5 linked regions of the Oryctolagus cuniculus genome follow. The protein of the gene in region 4 binds, or shares a complex with, the protein of the main gene of each other region. Links are inferred from orthologs where the notes say so. Each region holds a gene or a part of one and is shown on either strand. Other genes may lie near its edges.

Region 1 (4,702 bases), on a different chromosome or scaffold from region 4:
AAATGAGGGCCTTCAAGGCTTTCACTCCCAGCCTTCAAGTCAACCTAAGCCAGACGCTACTCAAAGTCATTACTGATACTCATTTTATACCCATTGCCAATTATACTGCTATATCGGGAGTAGTCCACTAGAACACAGGTGGGCCCGGCGCTGTGGCACAGTGGGTTACAGCCCCGGCCTGCACACTGGAGTCCCATATTGGGATGCTGACTGTTTGACTGAGTCCCAGCTGCTCCACTTCTGATCCAGCTCCCTGCTGATGCACCTGGGAGAGCAGCAGCAGATGGCCCAAGTGCTTGGGCCCCTGCATCCACGTGGGAGTCCTGGAAGAAACTCCTGGCTCCAGCTGTTGTGGCCATTTGGGAAGTGAACCAGAGGATGGAAGACCTCTCTCTCTCTGTCTACCTCTTTCTGGAACTCTTTCAAATAAATAAAATTAAATTAAAAAAAAATAGCCAGCTGATCCCAGTTATAAAATGGTTAAAACTCAGCTTGCTTCCAATTTGTGGTATCTCCACCTTTTGCCTTCACTGTTTAAACACCTTTAACTGAAACTCGGGGCCATATTTACAGCTTTAACAATCTGATAAAACAACATTCCAGCAGTATCATCAGGAATATAGCTTACCAGTCGAAAGCAGAAATATATTCTTGGTACGGAAAATTTGGGATTTGGATTTTTACTGAAGAAATGTTTGCTACGTATGACCCCTGAGAGTAACAGTGTAACTTTTTTTTTTTGGCAAAAGTTCACTTTACTCCAATACTACTTAAGACAGTCAAGAGTCAACATAAATGTCAAACCCTCATTAAAATACCGTGGGGACAAGCCTTTGCGACACTGGCACCCCACAGCGCGGTGCCGGGCTTCGATTCCTTGCTGCAGGCCCCAATTCCAGCTTCCTGCTAGTGTGAACCCCGGGAGTGGTGGTGACGGCTCATGTAGTTGGGTCCCTCCTGTCCATGAGCAAGACCTAGAATGGGTTCTCAGATGCTGGTTACAGGTATGTTGGGGGTGAGCTGGTGGGTAGGAGCTTCTTCTCTCTCAAGTAAATTTTAAAAATTAAATTAGAAAGCAGACGGGAAATTCCAGGGCGGGAACAGTGTTTTGAATACTCATACTCCCTCACAGAGCCTCACACAGTGCTGGTCCTGGTCACTTCCAGGCAATCAGTAGAGGCCTGGCCCCTGGGAGGGGCTTGCCAGCCAGCCCCCTGCATGATTTCACTGAACTTCCCAAGGAGGAACCTCTCTGGGGGAGGGGAGGAGTGATGTGCTCTCAGACACCTCCCAACTAAGTGGTGAGATGTGGGCAGGACAGACACACACAGCAGGCATTCAACAAGTATTCACTGGAAGGAACAGCAGTACCAGCAGGAGAGGGCTGGGAGCTCTTCGTGTCAAACACCCTGGGTCCCTGCTTTAGAAACCTTCAAGTCAGAATACTACATTCCATCCCTCGGTTCTGAATTACCACAACTTCACTTAGAAAGAGAGCTAAGCATATCCTAAGCATAATCGATGGAGCATTTATAACTTTTAAGGGAAATCCAGGTCATTTTAAACGTTCCTAAGAAAAAGTGACGTTTTGCTGATGCCTGACACAAAAGCATGGAAGAATTCACTTAAAATAATCCGCTGACTTCATTTTCAATCCCACTTCACGAACGCTTTTCCCCAAGTGCCAAAGTAAGGTTTTCTTTTAAAAAGGTAACATAGCATACACATTCCTAAATAAATGAAATTTAACAATTTTTATTTGAATACGTAGAACTATACAGGGTTCACCTTTCCCACGTGTGACACGAATCCAACAGACATGCATCTCCCCAGAAAAACCAGTGTCCTAACTGTCCTCCTTGCATCCGAAATGCACAAACAATCTCAAACGTCTCCCATCAGTTCTCTAAGCTAAGAGATCACACATTCACTAAGAGGCATAAAAAAAAAAAAAAAAAAAAAGATAAAAGTCGGAAGGCCACTTTTGGGATATGAACCAGAGGTGTCCAGCGCACTCTTCCTCCGACTCTGGACTTGGACCAGTTGCATTCAGAGCTGGGTGAAACTGGTAGTAATTCTTCGAGAGTCCCTGTCCCACACTAAGCTACACAAGCAATGCTGAGACGCGCGATTTTGCTCGGATCACACTGGGATTCTTGTTTATAAGGGAGGGAAAAACACACACACACACACACACACACACAACTGCATAAGACCGGTCTTGTCCTCCTCTGGGGCCTGTAACCCCCACGGGCGGTCCTGGAAAGAACTCCATCCATCCCTGCCGCGCTCAGCCAAGGCCTCGGTTTTTTAATTTTTATTTTTATTTATTTTTTTAAATAACGACCACATTGCAGGAGGTCAGCTTCCGTCACACCTGGCCCCTGACAGCATCTTCCAAACTTTGTCCACGCCAAGGGCGCCACCGACCATGTCGAAGAACCCCACAAGTGGCCAAGTTACAAGTGGCAGCGACGCGGCCGCACGCTGGGCTTCCGGTCACTCAGACCACTGGACCTCCGCCGCCCGCCCCGGCTCCCCGGGCTGGAGGGGTGGGGGTGGGGGGCGACCAGGAGGTTTAGGGTAAATGCCAGGGAACGGCCCCTTCTCGCCAAAATAAAATAAAATAAAATAAAATGATTTGCACAGGCGCCCGAGAGCCGTGCCAAGCCGGGCAGGGTGGCGGGCGGCGTCCGGCCGCCCCGCGGGCCCGGGAAGGCGGCGAGAGGGCGGAGTCCACTCTTGCCCGCGGCCGGCCAGCGGCAGGGCCCTCCCCCCACCAGGACGCCGCAACCCGGCCCGGGACGACGGCGGGTGAGGGGCGCCCGCCCGAGCCCCGCGCAGAGGCCGCGCGGCGCCCACGCGACCCTCGGCGAGCCCCCGCCGGCCCCCCAGAGCCCCCGGCCGCGCACTCACCCGTCTCCCACCACCACACACTTGATGGCCTGCATCTGGGCCGCTCGCTGGGCCGCGGCGGCGGCGGCGGCCGGGCGCTGAGGCGGGAAGCGGCGGGCGGACGGGCGCGCGGCGACGGGCGGGCGAGCGCGCGGCGACGGGCGGCGGGGCGCGGGATGCCGGAGCCACTGTCCACGCCGCCTCGCCCTCCGCGGACTGGAGGCACAAGCCCGGCAGCAGCCACCACCCAAAACGGAGGAAAACTGCAGAGAAACAGGAAATGGCCGCTCCACTCACATCCGGCCGCCCCTCCCCCGCGCCGGCGCCGCCGCTCCCAGGCTCCGGGAGGGGCCGCTCCCGCCCGAGCGGCTCCCGGGGTTCCTCGGGGCTTCGGGAGCGCTCGGGAACGCTCGGGAGCGCTCGGGAGCGCTCGGCTCCGGCCGCGGGGGCGGGGCGGCCGCCATCTTTCCCGCGGGCTGGGCGCGGCCGGGTTTGGACTGGGAGGGGAGGCGGGGGTTCCAGGAACCGCGCTGACGTCACCGACTCCCGGCCCGGCCGTCCGAAGGGCGTGGGTTGTTCCCCCACCTCTTTATTGTCCTGTGTGTATGGTCACTGTCACTTAGGCGATGACATAAGGGCCTTCTAGAAATTTCCGAAGCTGAAGCTATATAAAGAAGGAAAAAAAAAGAAACCATACCATTATTGGGCCATAATCAGTATTCATTCCATCATATTTCTTTTTTTTTTTTTTTTAAGATTTATTTATTTGAAAGAGTTACAGAGAGAAGATGGAGAGAGAGAGAGAGGTTTTCCACCCGATGGTTCTCTCCCAATTGGCCGCAATGGCCAGAGCTGGGCTGATCCAAAGCCAGGAGCTTCTTCCAGGTCCCCATGCAGGTGCAGGGGCCCAAGGACTTGGACCACCTTCCACTGCTTTCCCGGGCCACAGCAGAGAGCCACATCGGAAGTGGAGCAGCCGGGTCTCGAACCGGCGCCCATATGGCGCTTCAGACCTGGGCTTTAACCCACTGCACCACAGTGCCAGCCCCTCTCCATATTTCTTTTTTATTTTATTTATTTATTTATTTATTTATTTATTTATTTTTGACAGGCAGAGTGGACAGTGAGAGAGAGAGAGACAGAGAGAAAGGTCTTCCTTTGCCGTTGGTTCACCCTCCAATGGCCGCCGCGGCCGGCGCTCTGTGGCAGGCGCATCGCGCTGATCCGAATGCAGGAGCCAGGTGCTTCTCCTGGTCTCCCATGGGGTGCAGGGCCCAAGCACTTGGGCCATCCTCCACTGCACTCCCGGGCCACAGCAGACAGCTGGCCTGGAAGAGGGGCAACCGGGACAGAATCCGGCGCCCTGACCGGGACTAGACCCCGGTGTGCCGGTGCCGCAAGGCGGAGGATTAGCCTAGTGAGCCGCGGCGCTGGCCTCCATATTTCTTAATACACACAGTGAACATGTTTCAGGCAAGATTGAAAAATCATACTGAATCTCTAATATTTTTAATTGCGGCTTACTAGTCCATTGTACACATGTACCTTTTTAAAATTTTACTTTGTTCATTTATTTTGATTTTACTTGAAAGGCAGAGAGAGATCCTCCACCTGCTGATTCTTCCCTAAATACCTGCAACAGCCAGGGCTAAGTCAGGCCAGTCGGGAGTCGGAGCCCAATCTGAGCCTCCTGGGGTGCACATTAGCAGAAAGCTGCATCGGAAGCAGAGTTGGGACTGAAGCTCAGGCTGTATGATACGGCATTCAGCGTCCCAAGGGGCATCTTAATAGCTGTGCCATGCGCCTA
Region 2 (4,399 bases), on a different chromosome or scaffold from region 4:
CCTGCTGCTGACCAAAGGCGGCCCAGGATAGGAGCCAGCCCGCCCCACGCCTGGATGTCCTCGGGGCCTCCCCGTCCATCAACCTGCACCCCTGAGCATCTGCACAGCCTCCCCGTCCATCAGCCTCTGCCTACACGAGGCGCCCACCGTTGCCACTGCCAGGAAGTTCTAGCTCAGCCTGAGCCGAATTCCTGGCCACTGCCCCCGTGCACACTGGAGGAAGAACCCGCCCTGCAAGGCCAGTGTGCCACGCACCAAAGATCAGCAATTAAGGCTTAGAATATCGTCATCCGGTTGTTGATGAGGTTGGGATTAACTTTAAGTCTGTGAATGCTTCTCTTTTTACTAATTATCTCTTTCTTTTCTTTCTCTCTCTCTTTCTTTCTTTCTTTCTTTCTTGCTTTCTTTCTTTCTTTCTTTCTTTCTTTCTTTCTTTCTTTCTTTCTTTCTTTCTTTCTTTCTTTCTTTCTTTCTTTCTTTTCTTCTCCTTCTCCTCCTTCTTCTTTTTTTGACAGGCAGAGTTAGACAGTGAGAGACAGAGAGAAAGGTCTTCCTTCCGTTGGTTCTGCTCCCTAAATGGCTGCTACGGCTAAAGCTGCGCCGATCCGAAGCCAGGAGCCAGGTGTTTCCTCCTGGTCTCCCATAGGGTGCAGGGCCCAAGCACTTGGGCCATCCTCCACTGCACTCCCTGGCCACAGCAGAGAGCTGGACTGGAACAGGGGCCACCGGGACAGAATCCGGCGCCCCAACCGGGACTAGAACCTGGTGTGCCGGCGCCGCAGGCAGAGGATTAGCCAAGTGAGCCACGGCGCCAGCTTTTTACTAATTATTTCATGTGAACACTGTAAACACATCAAAAATGCAGGTAGGGGCCGGTGCTGCGGTGTAGCAGGTAAAGCCGCCGCCTGCAGTGCCTTCCTCCCACATGGGTGCCGGTTCTAGTCCCGGCTGCACCACTTCCGATCCAGCTCTCTGCTGTGGCCTGGGAAAACAGAAGATGGCCAAAGTTCCCCCGTGGGAGACCTGGAGGAAGCTCCTGGCTCCTGGCTGTCACGGCCATTTGGGGAGTGAACCAGCAGATGGAAGACTCTCTCTCTCTTTCTCCTCTCTCTCTCTCTCTGTATTTCTGGCTTTCAAATAAATACATAGAATATTTTTTAAAAAATCATTTACTCGTGTGGCAGAGAGGCGGAGTGACAGAGAGCTCGTATCTGCCAAGGTACTTCCTGCAGGTTAGGCTGGGCCAGGGCTGACGCCAGAGCTGGGAGTCCAGCCCAGGGCGCCCATGTGGATGGCAGGGACGCGATGCCAGTTCCTTGAGCCGCCACTTCTGCCCCGCAGCTTGCAGGCAGGCCGGAGCTGAGCTGCGCACTGAACCCGGATGCGGGCGTCGTGAGCACTGCCGGCCGCGGTCCAGCACATCTACCTGATGTGTTGCTCTATTCTCTCGTTTGCGGCTGGATTTTACTTCACCAGACGGACGTAACCAGGGATGAAGCCAGGCCGATGCGGTTTCACGGCACGCCTCGTCCCGCAGCGCACGGTGGGTGCCGTGCTGGCTGACCGTCAGGTCCCTGTGGCCGCCAGGCCACTGCGAGTGGCGGCTGCCTTGTGCCCCGGCGCAGCTCAGGCCTGCCCTCCCGCTGCCTCCCGCGCTGAGCTGTTGCACAGTTCCCAGTGCCCGGGGCCCTCACCTCTCCGTGCGGTGGTGCAGCATCCCCCGCTGGAAGTAGGCCACGGCCAGGTGCCTGTCCTTGCTGATGCTCTTGGTAAAGGCCTGCGGAGAGGGTGGAGGAGGTCGGAGGCCGCGGGCAGCGTTGGGCAGGGCACGGGTCAGCGCGCCTGTCACTTCCTCGTGGCGTGGCATGGGGCAAGTTCCCTACTCTCTAGCTGAGCCCTAGTTTTCTCCTCTGCATGAGGGGCGTGTTGCCTTTCAAGTTCACTGGATCAGGATACAATGGTTCATTATGAAAATTAAAGTAATAAATAAGAATTTACCCGGAAGGCTGGCAGCATGGGGCTTAGGCAGCCGAGGCAGGGAACAATCCAGACACAGAACGCGCGGGGACGCCCGGCACCCACACCCTCCAGGGCCTGCCCCGGCCGCGCCCTCCGCCGGGGTCTTGCCCGCTGACCCTCGGCTCTGCCTGCGGTGGGTGTGGCCCTGGCTGCGCTCAGGGCCTTGCGAGGATCCGCAGCAGCAGGCAAAGGTGACAGCTGACTTCCGAGACGGGGCGGCGCCTTCCTGCTCCGTGTCTCACGCAATCGCTGCGGTGTTTATGCCCTTGGAGACCCAAGGTGCAGGGAGGAGCGGCGCCGCCGTTTGCCTGGAGCGCTCCTGCTGCCGGACCCGGGGGCGTCTCCCTGGCCCTGACCCCACTGGCCCCCACTGGGGTACGCGAGAGGCAAAAGTACTTTAGAAGGTGCTCAGACCCCATCCCCAGCCCTGCCCTTGGCTGACGCCCTGTCAGTCACGGTTAGCTAGGCGCGCACTGGAGATGCAGCCAGCTCTTGGTGAGCCAGAGGGCCGGGCTGCCCTGGGGGCACCTCGTGGCCGGGACGGGGACAGAGACGGAGACGGAGCGAACCAGTGCCCCGTGGGTCAGGGCCATCACGGCTGAGAAGAGGGGGAAGAGGGACAGCCTGGCCCTGGTCACGGCTCCCGGCCTGGGCTGCCCACGCCCCTCCCGAGCAGCTGGGGAATTTTGGGAGCTGTGGCGCAGGCCCTGCCCAGGCCAGCTGGGCGGGGGCTCTGGGCTAATGCGGAAGCTCCCTGGAGATTTGGGTTCCGTGGCCACCAGCCCGAGGGCAGAGGCTGCGGACACTGAGGAGGTGGGAAGAGCCCTCACTCACCTTCTCTGCCTCAGGCAGGTCTCCCAGGATGGCGTGCACGCAGCCCACGTTGAAGCAGATCCGGGCGTGCGGGTCCTGGACTGCGCAGAGGGCGGCCAGGGCCCCCCTCCAGTCCTCCCGGTCAGCCGCCAGCACCCCCTCATTCCAGAGGCTGATGGCCTCCGCCAGGGACATGGTCAGGTGCAAGCAGGTGTCGGGAGCGGCCAGGGACGGGCGGTGGGGGCAGGACGGGCCCGGCTCCCCTTAAGAAGGCTCTGGTGTTGCAAAGGCAGCGGAAGTGGCCCCACCTTTCAGCCAACTGTGAGAGAGAAGGAACGAGAGGGCGGCGGGGGCGGGCGGGGGGCGGGCAGGGGAAGTACAGCAGGTGCCGTTGTCATGGGTCAGTTCCCCAAAACGCTCCGCTGAGTCTCCGCCTCCTCCTCTGGCTGCAGCCTCTGTGGGGCCCAGGGCAGCCGTGCCAGGGGTGGCTTCCCCAGCTCCATTGCATCCTGGGCTTGGGAGGCTGCGGGGCGGGCGCCTGGCTCCTCCCGGCCTCTCCCGGTCCCCGGCTCTCCTGCTCCTGACCCTGCGACGGCCGTGTCCTGTTGGTTTCATCTTGAGCCACACCAGCGACAGACACATCTCCCGGGGTCCATCTGCACCCGAGGTCACTCGGATGAGCACTCAGGAAGTCCGGGGCGGGAGCGACTGCCCACAAGCGCCTCCGCGTGGGATCCAGGTCGGCCACGAACGGCAATTTCTCCCATTTGTGAGCTGACGGGCTGCGGGCTGCACGGAGGCTGAGACTCCTTGCCTTGCTGAGGGACCACGGGGTCCTGGGGACAGCCAGCGTGACCTAGAGAGCCCCCCGCGGGGTCCTGGGGACAGCCGGCGTGACCTAGAGAGCCCCCCGCGGGGTCCTGGGGACAGCCGGCGTGACCTAGAGAGCCCCCCTGCTCGCTGTTAGGGCTCAGCCCCTGCTTCCTACCGGAAGGAACACACACATTCACACTGCAATTCTCCCAAGAGCCTAAGAAACCGGGGCGTGCGCTCCGCAGGCCGTGCCGGGCGGCGGGTGAGGGAGGGCCGGGGACATGCGTGTGAGCATCCGCACACCTTGCAGGGTCCAGCTGCCCACAGGCCTCGGCCCTGACCCCGCCTCCTCTGCACCTGACCGTGTCTCCTGGGCCTTCGTGTGTCCATCGTGGCCCTCAGCCCCGGTCCACCCACCCCTCCACGCCCTCCGTCAGCGAGGCTGCCCGCCTGACTGCATCTCCTGGGCCGCCCAGCCCCGCCCTGCCTGCCCGCAGTGGGCGCCTTGTCCATGGTCCTCACGGCTCGAGCAGTGAGGTTCTCATCACGCCCGATCCCGGCCCTTCAGGGCCTCCGTGTGGTTCTGAGGACGCCACAGCCGCCGCCCGGCTCGCTCAGCCAGGCTCTCTCCCCTGGCCCTGCCGGGCTGCTCCTACCCATCTCCCACCCCCTCGGGGGGCCCTGCCTGGAGCCAGCACCTCACCGTGCCCTGGGTGAGCCCCGTGCTCTGCGAGGCTCAGTCTGCCCGGCGCCC
Region 3 (3,336 bases), on a different chromosome or scaffold from region 4:
GTATACGAAAGTTAAAGCAAAATTACAATAACTTTCCTAATAAACAAAATTGTAGTATTTGAAAGAACTCCTTAAACTTTAATGGGCATAACTTGAGGGTAAATGCCATATATTAGTTTCTTTGCCTCCTTCTCTTCATATGCCTAACACAGTATCAGGCAGTTCATAAATTCTGAAGAAAAGCTTGCTTAATAATTGTTCAAAGAATAGACAAATGGAGAATGGGGATATTCAGTCTACAAGATGTTAGATGTGAAGATGTCAAGATGTCAGTGTGAAGTAGAGAATTCTAGCTTCAATGTTCAAAATGTAAGCAACAATTCAAGTGGTGATTCCCTAGCAAGAGATGCAGGTGTTTGTGTGTGTGTGTGTGTGTGTGAAGAGTGGTGAAGCAACAAAAAAAATACCCATACTGAGAGTCCAAATGTTTTGAAGTTAGTTAAAAAGTCGTCTTCTTATATCCAACCCCAACATAGTTGGGTTGAGTGTTGAGTTGGTTGCTTGAAATCTATTTCGCAGGAAGCCTTCCATAGATACTTTGTCCCAGTTTGAATAGACATATTATACATCCTCAAAAATAACAGGTGTCCCATGTTACTATGAAGAACAATCCATCTGTGTAACAATTTCTTCTCCACTTCCTTTCAGGATAGCAGTTGATGGGCCCTTTGGCACAGCAAGTGAAGATGTGTTCAGCTATGAGGTGGTGATGTTAGTGGGAGCAGGAATTGGGGTCACGCCCTTTGCATCCATCCTCAAGTCAGTCTGGTACAAATATTGTGACAATGCCACGAATCTGAGGCTCAAAAAGGTATGTTCCTTCATTTTCTGGAGGGCCTGGAGTGGTCATCACACTTTGCCAAGTGAGGCCTAAGGGTGTGTTAAGGGCTAAGGCTGGCTGAAGCCAGAAAAAGTGAAGAGAAATATTAGGTGGTTCCAGAGAAGCAGATGTCTTTTCAAAGGCCTATGGGGTAAGTTAAACGTACCTCTATACTCATATAAGAAGGCCTATTAGTGAAAGCAATATGCTAGTTTTGTATATCATTACTGGAAATTCAGAAGAAAGTTGGGAAACAGTGAAGACATTTACAACAGCAAACCAATAGCTATCTTTTTTGTCTATTGTATTCTAATATTTACATATTTTCAAAAGGTATAAATATTGAGTATGTATAATTTCATATTCTGGCTTTCTAAATATATTATAGAAAGTGTGTTCAGGCTTTAAGATAATCTCAATGATTCTTTCATTTTCCATTGAGAGAACATAGAACAATTTTTCCATCACCCTGTGTTAGATATTGAGATTGATTCAATTTCTACCCCACCCCTTATTCCCCAAATACATTTTGCAGGAATAAAGCAAGAAACATGACATTTTGACTTTCTCATGGATATATTCTCAGGATCAATTCACAGAGGATTTTTTGTTACATGTGAATTTAGTTTCATTGCCTGATGAAATACATCTTTAATATATCTTGCCTAGACTAGCTGGTGCCAGTCTAGATTCCAATGGCCTTTCTGAGAGGAAGGACAAAGGAATCCAGGGATTCTGGGAAAGCGAGAATAGTTCTCTAGAGGGAAAGGTATTTCTGAGGTTAATTTATTCATTGCCTTGCCAGTGTGAAGGCCAGAGCAAGATCCTGTGAACTAGCCTGTGCTGGGTCCAGAGCTTTCTGAAAACCTGTACTGCTAGACATCCTGACCATCAGGAAAAGGTTTGGGGACAGTAGAAATCCACATGTTAACGAAGATCAAGTCTATCTAAATATAATCTGTGCCTCTTTCAGATCTACTTCTACTGGCTGTGCCGTGACACACATGCCTTTGAGTGGTTTGCAGACTTGCTGCAGCTGCTGGAGACACAGATGCAGGAGAGGAACAATGCTGGCTTCCTCAGCTACAACATCTATCTCACCGGCTGGGATGAGTCCCAGGTGAGGGCAAGGGTCCACATCTCAGGTCCTTCCAGTAGTGTCCAGGGCTTACCAGTTTCCCCTTTGTTATTGGTGTTTTTCGTGCCCTGTTTTTTCCAAGATCAGTTAATGGTTTGAGTAATCCATCCCAGTTATTCTCACTCTGTCTCCACATGATGTTAAAACTGTTGAGACTACATTCAAAGCTAAAGAGCCTGTAAAGGAAGAAAATCCTTGACTATTACACTATTAGAGCAATGTTCTCACCAGAGGATTAGTCTCAGACAAAATGGGTAAGATGCTCCACTATATTATGGGGAAAAAAAAGTTTCCTCATTCTCTCTCTCTTGGTATGTGTATGGGTATTCCTTTAATTTATATGTTTATGCTTGTTTTATAATATACTCAATACATTGCTAGTTATTAAGCATATGCACTCAGCTTTCCATATCTGTACTGAACATATCATTATCCACTACACAATACAGTATAGCACTTATTTACACAGCATTTCCATTCTATTAGGTGGTATAAGTAATCTGGAGATGATTTAAAGTGTATGGGAGGATGTGTTTCGGTACTTGCAAATGCTACCTCATTTTATGTAAGGGACTTGAGCATCCTCACATTCGGAATTTGCTAACTTCAGCAGGGCTGGGGATGTGCTGGGAGAGTGGAAACTAAACCTGACAGACACCAAGGGGCAGCTTACTATGTTCCCACTATTATTCTTAGAATTTACATAAATTGCCTTATTTTATCCTGTCCACAACCCTCCAAGGTTATTATTATTCAAATTTTTCAGATGAAGAAATCAAGGCCCAGAATAGATTCAGTCATTTGCTTAAGAGAACCCAACAAGTGGCAGAGTCAGAACGCTTCTGAACCTGCACTCTTAGCAACTCTCAGTAGTTTCTGGTTATAATTTTTTTTCCTTTTTCCACAAACTTTTTGAAGTACTTTCTTTTTTTCTTCTTTAAAATTTTTTATTTAATAAATGTAAATTTACAAAGTACAACTTTTGCATTGTTGTGGCTTTTCCCCCCATAACCTCCCTCCCACCCGCAGCCATCCCATTTCCCACTCCTTCTCCCATCCCACTCTTCATTAAGATTCATTTTCAATTATCTTTATATGCAGAAGATCAACTTAGTATATACTAAGTAAAGATTTCAACAGACTGCACCCACACAACCACACAAGATATAGAGTGCTGTTCGACTAGTAGTTTTACCATTAATTCTCATAGTACAACACATTAAGGACAGAGATCCTACGTGGGGAGCAGGTGCACAGTGACTCCCGTTGTTGATTTAACAATTGACAGTCTTATTTATGATGTCAGTAATCACCCCAGGCTCTTGCCATGAGCTGTCAAGGCTATGGAAGCCTCTTGAGTTCACCAACTCTGAACTTA
Region 4 (4,691 bases):
GTGCCCGACCCCGTGCTTCCTCGTGTTAGGACACGCGCCAGCAATCAATCGGAGGGCGTGGCAGAGCCCTGGCGCTGGGACCACCACCTGTGCTGTGTGTGAGCGCACGCCGGGGGCTGGGGAAGGCCCAGGTGTGTGGGGGCCGAGAACGCCACCCGGCCCGGCCGGCCGGGACAGCCGCGGGCCGCACCAGACACCCCCCGTGGAAGCTCCGCCCACTCGCACCTGCTCACCCGTGCTGCCCCGAGGGGCCAGGAGCGAGCCAGAGCCTCCTGGTTTCTGAGACCCTCCCCTAGGGGACCCTGGCCAGGCCCTGGCGAGCTCTGCCTTGTGTCTTGGTAGAGTGGGCCGAGGGCTGACCGTGTCAGCCACGGAGGGGCCGTGGGGCTCCCATCCCCATCCCGGCCGCTGTGCCTCCAAGGACTTGCCTGAATGGATGCTGCCTGTGTGTGTGGCTGCACACGCGTGTGTTCCTGCGCTGCCCTGTGTAGACCTGCACACGCGTATGTTCCTGCGCTGCCGTGTGGCCGCACACGCGTGTGCCCGCCTTGTCTCCCAGGTTCGTGAAGGGCCTGCAGGTGGCGCCTGCACTTCTCCCAGACGACCTCAAGGCGGCGCTGGCCCTGGAGCCCACGCCCGGTGGCATCAAGTACATCATCTCCACCCAGGTGAGGCCCGGCCCTCTGCGTGACGTCATTGGGTGGGGGTGGGACTGAGTGGGCGGGGCTGCGGCGGGGTCCACCCCGAGCCTGCCCAGACTGGCCAGTGCCACGCCCCCTGCTCAGGGCTGCGAGACCCGTGCGCAGTGCTGACCCGAGCCAGGCGCCCGGCAGCGGGCAGCGGGCAGCGGGCAGCGGGGGCTCGGCTCCTGGTCGACTCGGGAGGTGGGGCCTGCACCTGGTCCCCTGCCTGCGGCCTCCGACCTCCGCCCTCCCTCCCTCCCTCAGGTGGGGCCGGGGCCTCAGGTCCTGCGGGACCCCGACGCGCACCTCCTGGGCTCCGACGGCCTGCCGAGGCCCGCTGCGTGACCGGACCCCCCTAGCGTGACGGGCGCGTCAGCGGCCCCCTGCAGCTGCGTGGCGTCTGGGCGGAGGGGCCGGGGCTGCCCCTCAAGCCGCAGCACCGCTCGTGCTGGGCCTGCAGCCCGGCCCTGGACGCTGGCCCGGTGCAGGTGGACTGGCCCTTCGCCAGCCGGCGGGGCTGCGGGCGGGGCGTGTGTCAGGTGGAGCTGTGGTGACCGCCCCGGAATAAAGCCAGCATCGCTGACCGCCTGCCCCGCACGCCTTCCCGACAGCCCCAGCAGGCCTGCCCCGTGGACAGCCCTCGGCTTGGAGGGCGATGAGGGTCCCGCCCAGTGCTCAGGGCGGGGGTGGGGTGGTGTCCGTCAGGGCGGGGTCTACCTGCTCGGCCGCCCGCCTCACCCAGGGCTGTGGCCCCTGCTGCTGGGCGTGTCCAGGGCCAGGGGCACATCCGCCTCCCCAGGGAGGGAGCCCGGCAGCCCAGGGCGGGGAGGAAGCGGTGCTGGGACCCCTGGTCCCCGCCGTGTGGGGGCGCTGCCCTGTCCTGGGGCGGCACAGGCCGGCTCCCTGGGAGCCCCGGGCCACACGCGGGATGGGCAGAGGAGCTGGGGGCAGGGGCACAGCTGGGGGGGGGCCTGGGGCAGGGAGCCGTCCGCAGGCGGCCCAGCTGCGGCCCGGGAGGTCGGCCCGGGGGGCGGGGCGGGGGCGGGGCGGAGGGCGGGGCGGGGCCGACCCGGCGGCGGCGGGCGGCGGCGGCGGCGGCGCGGGCCTCAGTGAGCCTTGGCGACCGCCATGGGGCAGATCGAGTGGGCCATGTGGGCTAACGAGCAGGCGCTGGCGTCCGGCCTGAGTGAGTGCGAGCCCGGCCGCTGGGCCCGGGCCGAGATCCTGATGGTGTGGGCGGGCGGAGATCGTGGGGTGGGGCGGGGGTCGCTGCGGCCCGGGAGCAGGGGGAGCACGGCGCCCCCGCCCCCGCCCCGCGGAGGAGGAAGCTGCCTGCGGAAGTGTTGCTGCGCCCGGTGGTTCCGGGAGCCGCCGCCCCGCCTGGCTGGGAAACTCCCAGGGACGACGATGCGGGGTCACGGGGGAGGGTCCCGAGGCGGAGCCGGGCAGGGGTCCCCAGCGGCACGACCCCTGCACCGGGTGCCCGGCAGGGTCAGCGGGGTTAGGGCTAGGCGACGGTGACCCGCCCAGAGCGCCGTGCTGCCCGGTTTGCTTTACCAGGGGCCTGGGGCCGGGTACTGGGAGAGCTCCCAACCCGTGCAGGCCCAGCCCCCAGGAACCGCCCAGCTCAGCTGCGACCCGACCTGACCCTCGGGAGGGAGCATGTGGGGGGGTGGGAAGGGTCCCAGCTCAGGGCCATGCCCTGTGCACTGGGGACAGTGAGCTTGGAGGGCCACACCCTGAACAGGCTGTGGGGCAGGCGCCCACGGCCTCCTGTTAATCCCCATGGCTGAGAACATGGCAGGTCAGTGTAGGGAGGCCCCACGGGACCCTCACCCACTGCCCCTGCTCTGTGCCAGACCCCCTGTTCCCTCCCAGGACGCCCCCAGGAGGCAGACAGCGGGGGGGGGGGGGCTTGGTTCCGATGCCTGTTAGAGGAGCAGCGACCACAGGCGCCCACTCCCATCCAGGCCAGAGAGGTCACGAGGGGTCAGCGGGACACCTGCCGGCACGTCTCCCAGGCCTCCTGCCCTGCTCCTCCTGGGGCTGTCCGGGCCGTCGGCAGCCCGCACGGGGACGACCACCAGGGACGGAGCAGCTCTGGCCGCGCCAGCCCCTGCCTCCCTCCTCACCAGCGGCACGGGGACCCCGCCAGGAAACCGCTTCCTCTGCCCACGTCCCCTGCTCCCAGGCCCCACTGCTGTCCCCTGTGCCCCACTCTGCGCCAGCCCACAGCCTCGGCGCTGGCTTTAGTCTCCCCACGCGAGACCACGAGCCCCCGCCAGCCCACGGCGGTGCCTCCGGTCACTGCTGGAACTGGGTTAGCTCAGGGCTGCAGGTGCAGCCAGCGGCTCTGCCCCGTGGCGGATAGACAGGAGGCCCCGAAAGGGGACGTTCCGCCCTGGAGATGAGTCAGCCACACCGGGCGACTGGGTGACCGCATGGGGAAGCTGCCCTCCTCCCCAGCACACGCTCCAATGCGCACCAAGAAAGTTAATATGTAGCCGAGCTCGGACCCGGCTCAGGAAGTCTGCACCAACAAAAGCGGGGAGACCTGGGGGGAGAACGCAGCCCGGGCCTGGGGCTGCCCTCGGGGACGGGCGCTTAGGCAGCGGGCGTCCAGGGCCTCAGCCGAGGCCGGGCTTCGGGCAGGATGCTGGAGTCAGACCAGGAGGGCAGCTCGGGGGTCTCCGGCCAGCACAGACCCCAGCCCTCGGCCACGCCACGTGTGGGCCTGAGGACCGGTGAGCACCGCCCCGACAGGCCTCACAGAGGACTCGGCAGGGCACAGCCGGCCCACGCCATGCACAGGGCCGCACGCGTGTGCAGGGGCGGAGCGTGTTTAAGACACCTCCAGAGCGGAGGGACGTGGGGGTGGGGGGTCTGCCTGGCCACAGGTGCAGTGAAGGAGAGCCCTTGGCGGGTAGCCCGGCCGCTCCACTTCCCACCCAGCTCCCTGCTGTGGCCTGGAAAGCAGCCGAAGGCGGCCCCAGAGGCCCGGCCCCTGCACCCGTGTGGGAGACCCGCAAGAAGCTCCTGGCTTGATCTGGCCCAGCCCTGGCCATGGCGGGCATCTGGGGAGTGAACCAGCAGACAGAAGACCTCTTTCTTCCAAATAAAATGAAAATAAATTTTTCAAAACCAAAAGCAACAAAGCGAGGAAAACGCAGTGGATGAGCTGAGCTGGGAGCCTCACAGCGTGGACGCGGGCACAGCGCAGGCACCGCCACACGCGTGGCGACAGCTCCAGGCACACGGCCGAGGGTGACAAGGATGAGCCGGCGTCCTCCGCGTGGACACGCGGGCCGCAGGCCACGGCAGCACATCCGGAACACTCGGTGGCCAGTGAGCTTCCCAGCACCGCAGCAGGCGCCCACACACAGCCAAGGCCGCTCCCGAGTGCAGGACCCACGGGCCACGTGGCCACCACACCCACTGCCCGCACAGGAGGCCACGCCCCAGCCAGGCGGAAGGGGACCCCAGGGAAGCGGGGGTTGTGGGGAGGAAGAGGCTGTTGGCTGGGGGCGGGGTGGTGGAGGTGGACACCGAGGTCGGCTCCGGAGGGGCTGTGACATCGCGGGGTCGTGTCGCCTGACGGGTGGGCAGGCAGCGGGGCAACGGACACTCTGGCCCCTAGAGGGTCGGCCAGGTGAGCCCAGGGGCAGGCACGCTGCTCGCAGCACCGGTCTCAACGTGGGAGACCCCACTGGGCCCCAGCTGCCTGGACAGCGGGAAGGACACTCGCGGGACGGAGCCAGCAGTGAGCGCCAGGGGCCGATCGCGTGCGCACAGCGGGCACTGCCGCTCTGGCCGGGGCTGCGGGGAGCTCCAGGTGCCGAGCGCCGGCTTCTGTCTGATGAGGACAGCACCAAAGCAGAACCAGGAATGGCCACACGGAGCGAGGACAGGGCCAGGACGCCGACGCTGTCAGAGAATGAGGTCACCGAGCACGAACGTGCCACTCGCCGCCTCCGCCCGGCTGCGCCAGCCCCGTGCCAGCGGCGTCCA
Region 5 (4,666 bases), on a different chromosome or scaffold from region 4:
GGGTGCTCCCTGGCCACACGTCTCAGCTGGGGCGGAAGCTGGCTTCCCAGGCTCCCTGCCCGGTTTCTCTGCTCGCTGTTGGCTGCCTGCTTCCTCCCAGCTGGGCCCGGCTGAGGCAGCTGAGCCACCGTCCCCAGGAGGGAGCCCAGGCCACCTGCCGCGGACCAAGAGGCTCAGGGCTGTTGTGCTGGGAGTGGAGTCTGAGGCTGATGGGGACCCCCGACATCACGGGGTGGGTGGGGCATCTTGGCCCTGGCCCTGTCCTTCCTTCCCCTGGTCCTAAAAGGGAGCCCCATTACCATCACCAAATGAACATCCGATGGGCCTGGACTCAAGTCGGGGCGGTGGGGGGGGGTGTCCTGGGAGAGATCAAAGTCACTCTAGGGAGTGAGCGACCCCTTCGGGCTACAACAGGAAGGCTTCCTGGAGGAGGGGGCACTGGAGCTGGGCCTGGAGGCTTTAGACACTTGGATGTGGGAAGGAGAGCCCTGTAGCAGGGGGAGCAGCTGGAGCAACGGCCTCGAGGAATGTGCACTGAGCTGCAGGGGCTGGGGCAACCACGGAGGCTGGAGCAGACCACAGAGGCCTTGAACGCCGTGCTCAGGGGCTGGGAGGTGTCCGTCAGGCAAGGCTTCCCTCTGAGTCTGACCCCCTCCCACTCCCCACTCCTCAGGTGCAGCCCTGCCCGCACAGCCAACCAGAGGCCGGGGCCTGGAGGGCGGGGGGCACAGAGGGCACTGCAGACACCCTGGCACCCCTGTCCCTTGGTGTCTGGGTCCTCTGGGTTCCTCCGCTCTCCCTCCCCGACCTGCTGCTCCCCCGCCCAGTCCTCTCCATCTCCCTCTCCCTCTCCCTAGAGGCGCAAGTTCAAAGCCAGCTCTCCCCCCTGACTCTCCTTCTCCCTTCTAGAAGCCTCCCTGGGTGGCTGGTAGACTGGGACCCTAACTGCCCCCACCCCGGAAGTGCCGGCAGGGGGCGGGCTGGCCCTGCCCCCCGCCCCCAAGCTGCCCCCTCCCCCAGCTCCGGGCAGCCCGCCCCGCACTCACACGGTGGGGATGTACTCTCCCGGGAAGGCGTTGGTGGTGTAGCTGATGAGAAGGCAAGTCTTCCCCACGGCTCTGCAAGACGGAAGGTGAGGGGGCGTGGTCACCGGCGGCCCCTGGGGAGACCCAGTGCAGCCAGCCCACGCCTCCGGGCCGGGGTCTCCCGCTCCCAGGCGTCCCGTGTGGCTTTTCTGCACCCTGAGTCTGTAGAAGTCCCCGGGGTTGTGGGAAAGTGCCGACTTCGGGGTCCCGTCCCCCGGGTGCCTGACCCACGCCCGGCAGAGCCGTGAATCCGCGTTCGTAACAGAAGCTTCCCCGGGCGCAGGTGACACGGGACAGGCCGGGCAGAGCAGAGGGGGCCGGGGGGCTGGGCCCTCACCTTGTGCTCCAAATCCCAGCTCCACCCCCTACCCAGTGGCCCGACCTTCGGTCAGCACCCTCTGCCTGTTTCCCCACAGCGGGGACAGGGATGTGTCCATCTTCCAGGCAGCGTGCTGAGACGTGAAACAGACGATGCCCATGGCCGCCACCGACTGCTGGGAGAGCCGGGGGCCCCTCCCCACACCTCCTGCAGCCTCGCGGTGAAGGGGCCCGCAGGTTTGGGACCCAGAGACGCCTGCGTTCAAATGCTGGGCGGTCCCGGGCAGAATACGGAACTTCTCTGAGCTTCAAGTTTCCCCCGTCAAATGAGCCTAAACATTAGAGCTGGCGAGAGACCAAGCTAGGGGAAGTTGACTAAGTCCGGTGCCCGGTATACAGTAGGGGGTAAATAGATGGTGAGCCTCGTTATCACACTGTCTCCCCCTTAGCCTGCGGGGCTGCGGGCAGGGGCACAGCAGCTGAGCGCGAGGCCCAGAGGCCAAAGGGGCGGCCACGGGCTTTCCCCTGCCTGCTTGGTTTGTCACTTCCCGTTCCTTGCGCGGGCTGCTGGCCCCATCCCCCCTGCCACCTCCGCCGTCCCCAGGGCCACCAAGGTAACTCCGAATGGCTGGAAGTTTCCCCTTGACTTCTGCCCTCCCCCTGTCGCCTCAGACCCAAAGCAGAAGTAAGCAGGACAGGCGGGCTGACATGACCTGGCCGTGCACCAGATGCACCAGAGGCAGCCTGAGCCACGGGCGGGGCAGAACCTGGGCCGGGGCGGCTGCAATCCAGGTCAGAGAAGACCCTCGTCTCCAAGGCCTCCGGCTGCCGCTCTGCAGAGGGGAGAGCTGGACAGAGGCCCCGCCCAGCTCCAGGCGGCTGGGACAGATTGACAGGGAACCCAAGACCTGCCTGAGGGTGGGGCCAAGGGCTGGCGACTGACCACCCATCTCACAGATGGGGACATTGAGGCCCACCGGGGCCACGGAGTTCTGACAACCGACAGGGGCCCTCAGTCCAGCCTGCCATGCAGGCCAGCCCCCAGCAACCCTGGGGGCAGAGGCCTCCCTCCGATCACCAAACGTGAGCTTCAGAGAGGTGCAGTGAACCGCCCGAGGCCACACAGCACACCCCGCCAGTGCCTCCAGCCCAGGTCACCGCCAACGTTTTGCTTCCTCCCCTCTGACCTGCACCCCCTAGGGGTGAGGACTGAGGCCCACCACCCCCAGGAGACCTGCCCCCAGCTCAGGGGGGCAGGGAGGAGCCGCAGACACCCCCACCTGCCATCCTGTACCCTCCACCCAGGCGGCTTCCGGGGTGCGGTGGGGAGGGCTGAGTTCAGCTTCTCTCTCCCCGGCCCACCCTAGGGGGCTCCCTCTGGGCCCTGGGAAAAGAAGGAAGCAACTCCCGATGGCTGTCACCCAGCGATGCCCGCGTCGGCAGGGCAGGGGCTCCCCCAGCGTGCCCCAGGGCGGGAGGGTCTCAGGGTGGCCCAACGGGGGCTGTAGGAGGCAGGCCAGGTACCTACCCATCGCCCACCACCACACACTTGATGGCCTGCATCCTGTCCGGGGCCTGGGGGGCGGCAGCAGAGACAGCTGAGGGCCGGTGGGGGCTCCTGCAGGCACCGGAGCTGTGGAGAGCCTGGGAGGCACCGGCCGAGCAGCAACGGCGACGGCGGCGGTGAGACGCGAGGCAGGAGGAAGCGGAAGCAGAACTTAGCCAAGCCGCTGTCCCACGGCCGTTTGCAGAAGGCGGGGCATGCGGTCTGGCGGAGCAGCTGGGGGCACCGCAGGTGCCGGGCCCGGCCCTGGCCACCCCTCCCACACACACACAGGCGCCCTGTCCCGGGGCTCCCGCAGGAGACGTGGGGGCCCGAGGGGCAGCGCCAGAAGTTGCCCTCTAAGGACTTGAGGCTTCCAAGCATACAGTTGACCCCATTTCTGAGCATAAGCACGTAATGAGTGCCTTCTGTATGCCAGGCACAGTGCCAAGTGCTGGTGGTGAGGCCAAAGCGCAAGGGGCCCAGCCCCTCCCTGGGGCTCACACTCCTCGTGGAAGGAAAGAGTCGGCCTCATTACAGGTGTCCGTCAACCCAGACAGGAAGTGATGGAGCCCAAGGGATCTGCGGAGAGCAGTTACCCCCAGAGAGCTGGGGCCTGCAGGCCGGCATTGCAGCCGGTGTCCAGAAGAGGGCGCTCTAGCAGGAGCCCTGCTTTAGCCAGGACTCAGAGCGGGGGCTCCCCGAGCAAGGGCCTGTGTGGGAGTCCCTGGGGAGGAGGATGGAAAATGTAGGGGAGGGAGGTGAGGTGGGGTCAGCTGACGGAGAAGGGAAGCAGCAGGCAACGCCCTACGCGGGCCAGCCCTGGGGACTTGCGCCCCGAGGCCAGGCACCACGGCCCATTCTGTGGGTGCGGAAACTGAGGGTCTGAGAAGCCAGGCGGCTCCTGGGTCGTCTGCAGCCCAGCTGCTGCTTGGAGGGGGAGGGGCAGAGCCCGAGTCCTCCAGCCCAGGGGTGGGGATGGAGAGTGAGTGCTCCCCTTGTCACGAGGGTGCTCCAGGGAGATTAGGGAAGCGCGGGACCTCCCAGCTGGCTCCAAGTGTGGGGTTCATGGCTGCTGCTCCCACCCCCAGCACCTTTCCAGCCCCCGGGGCGGGGGGGAGAGGGCAAATGTTTGGGCCCCCGCTCCCACGTGGGAGACCTGGGTGGAGTCCTTGGCTCCTGGCTTCAGCCTTGGCTGTTACAACCATTTGGGGAGCAAACCAGCAGATAGAAGATCTCTCTCTCTCTCTCTCTCTCTGTAACTCTGCCTTTCAAATAAATACATCTTTTTTTAGAGAGAGAGACATGTGGTGAATGCAAAGCGGCGTCCTGAACTGCAGACGGAACAGAAAAAGTGGCCAAGCCACCCGCTGCGATGGCTGCGCCGGAACACGCCTCTGCTCGGGCGGGCGCCCATGGCCGCAGAACAGGCGTCAGCACGGACACAGACGGGTGAGCTCTTCCACCGTCTGCAGCCTTTCTCTACATCGAAAATGGTCCCGTGGATGTGGCCGCCGCCTTCCCCCTCCTCTCACTCCCCCGACATCCGCGCCTCCTCTGCCAGCCTGCCCAACCCCTCACGGCTGTAGACAGAAGCTCCAACTGTCCCCCTGCTCCAGGAAGCCCAAGCAACACGTGTCCCTGACCCAAAGCCACCGACGCCGTCCCTCATTCAGAACCCATCAGTCCCATGCCGCGTGCATGCCCAGCTCTGGGCTTG

The links.
Region 1: CYBA (region 4) and RAC1 share a complex: the UniProt entries of both Homo sapiens proteins name them as parts of the phagocyte NADPH oxidase complex. The link is inferred for Oryctolagus cuniculus from reciprocal best matches to the Homo sapiens genes CYBA and RAC1.
Region 2: CYBA (region 4) and NCF2 share a complex: the UniProt entries of both Homo sapiens proteins name them as parts of the phagocyte NADPH oxidase complex. The link is inferred for Oryctolagus cuniculus from reciprocal best matches to the Homo sapiens genes CYBA and NCF2.
Region 3: the proteins of CYBA (region 4) and CYBB are in contact, whole or in part, in a cryo-EM structure (PDB 8X2L), measured with the Homo sapiens proteins. The link is inferred for Oryctolagus cuniculus from reciprocal best matches to the Homo sapiens genes CYBA and CYBB. Residues at the interface, in NP_000092.2 of Homo sapiens: Gln3, Ile4, Glu5, Trp6, Met8, Trp9, Glu12, Gln13, Ala16, Ile20, Thr23, Val27, Gly31, Phe33, Thr34, Gln35, Arg56, Arg59, Met65, Gly102, Phe103, Leu104, Leu105, Ala106, Ile108, Leu109, Ala112, Cys113, Ile116; in NP_000388.2 of Homo sapiens: Thr116, Ile117, Leu120, Phe121, Val123, Glu124, Asn128, Asn133, Lys161, Asn162, Pro163, Gly166, Leu167, Ala170, Val180, Thr183, Leu184, Ile187, Leu188, Thr191, Ser192, Thr194, Lys195, Thr196, Ile197, Arg199, Ser200, Tyr201, Glu203, Val204.
Region 5: CYBA (region 4) and RAC2 share a complex: the UniProt entries of both Homo sapiens proteins name them as parts of the phagocyte NADPH oxidase complex. The link is inferred for Oryctolagus cuniculus from reciprocal best matches to the Homo sapiens genes CYBA and RAC2.

What each region holds. Positions count from the first base shown.
Region 1 is NC_091450.1:40,075,694-40,080,395, forward strand, and holds the start of RAC1 (ras-related C3 botulinum toxin substrate 1), read right to left. Parts: upstream 3,095-4,702; 5' UTR 2,952-3,094; coding exon 2,917-2,951; intron 1-2,916. UniProt on the Homo sapiens protein: Plasma membrane-associated small GTPase which cycles between active GTP-bound and inactive GDP-bound states.
Region 2 is NC_091444.1:1,499,221-1,503,619, forward strand, and holds the start of NCF2 (neutrophil cytosol factor 2), read right to left. Parts: upstream 3,052-4,399; 5' UTR 3,028-3,051; coding exon 2,854-3,027; intron 1,778-2,853; coding exon 1,695-1,777; intron 1-1,694. UniProt on the Homo sapiens protein: Subunit of the phagocyte NADPH oxidase complex that mediates the transfer of electrons from cytosolic NADPH to O2 to produce the superoxide anion (O2(-)).
Region 3 is NC_091453.1:23,818,874-23,822,209, forward strand, and holds part of CYBB (cytochrome b-245 heavy chain), read left to right. Parts: intron 1-648; coding exon 649-811; intron 812-1,793; coding exon 1,794-1,940; intron 1,941-3,336. UniProt on the Homo sapiens protein: Catalytic subunit of the phagocyte NADPH oxidase complex that mediates the transfer of electrons from cytosolic NADPH to O2 to produce the superoxide anion (O2(-)).
Region 4 is NC_091449.1:68,681,324-68,686,014, reverse strand, and holds the start of CYBA (cytochrome b-245 light chain), read left to right. Parts: upstream 1-1,745; 5' UTR 1,746-1,811; coding exon 1,812-1,869; intron 1,870-4,691. Other genes in the region: MVD (diphosphomevalonate decarboxylase), read left to right, coding at 560-668, 948-1,028. UniProt on the Homo sapiens protein: Subunit of NADPH oxidase complexes that is required for the NADPH oxidase activity that generates, in various cell types, superoxide from molecular oxygen utilizing NADPH as an electron donor.
Region 5 is NC_091442.1:114,257,651-114,262,316, forward strand, and holds the start of RAC2 (ras-related C3 botulinum toxin substrate 2), read right to left. Parts: upstream 3,148-4,666; 5' UTR 2,967-3,147; coding exon 2,932-2,966; intron 1,119-2,931; coding exon 1,047-1,118; intron 1-1,046. UniProt on the Homo sapiens protein: Plasma membrane-associated small GTPase which cycles between an active GTP-bound and inactive GDP-bound state.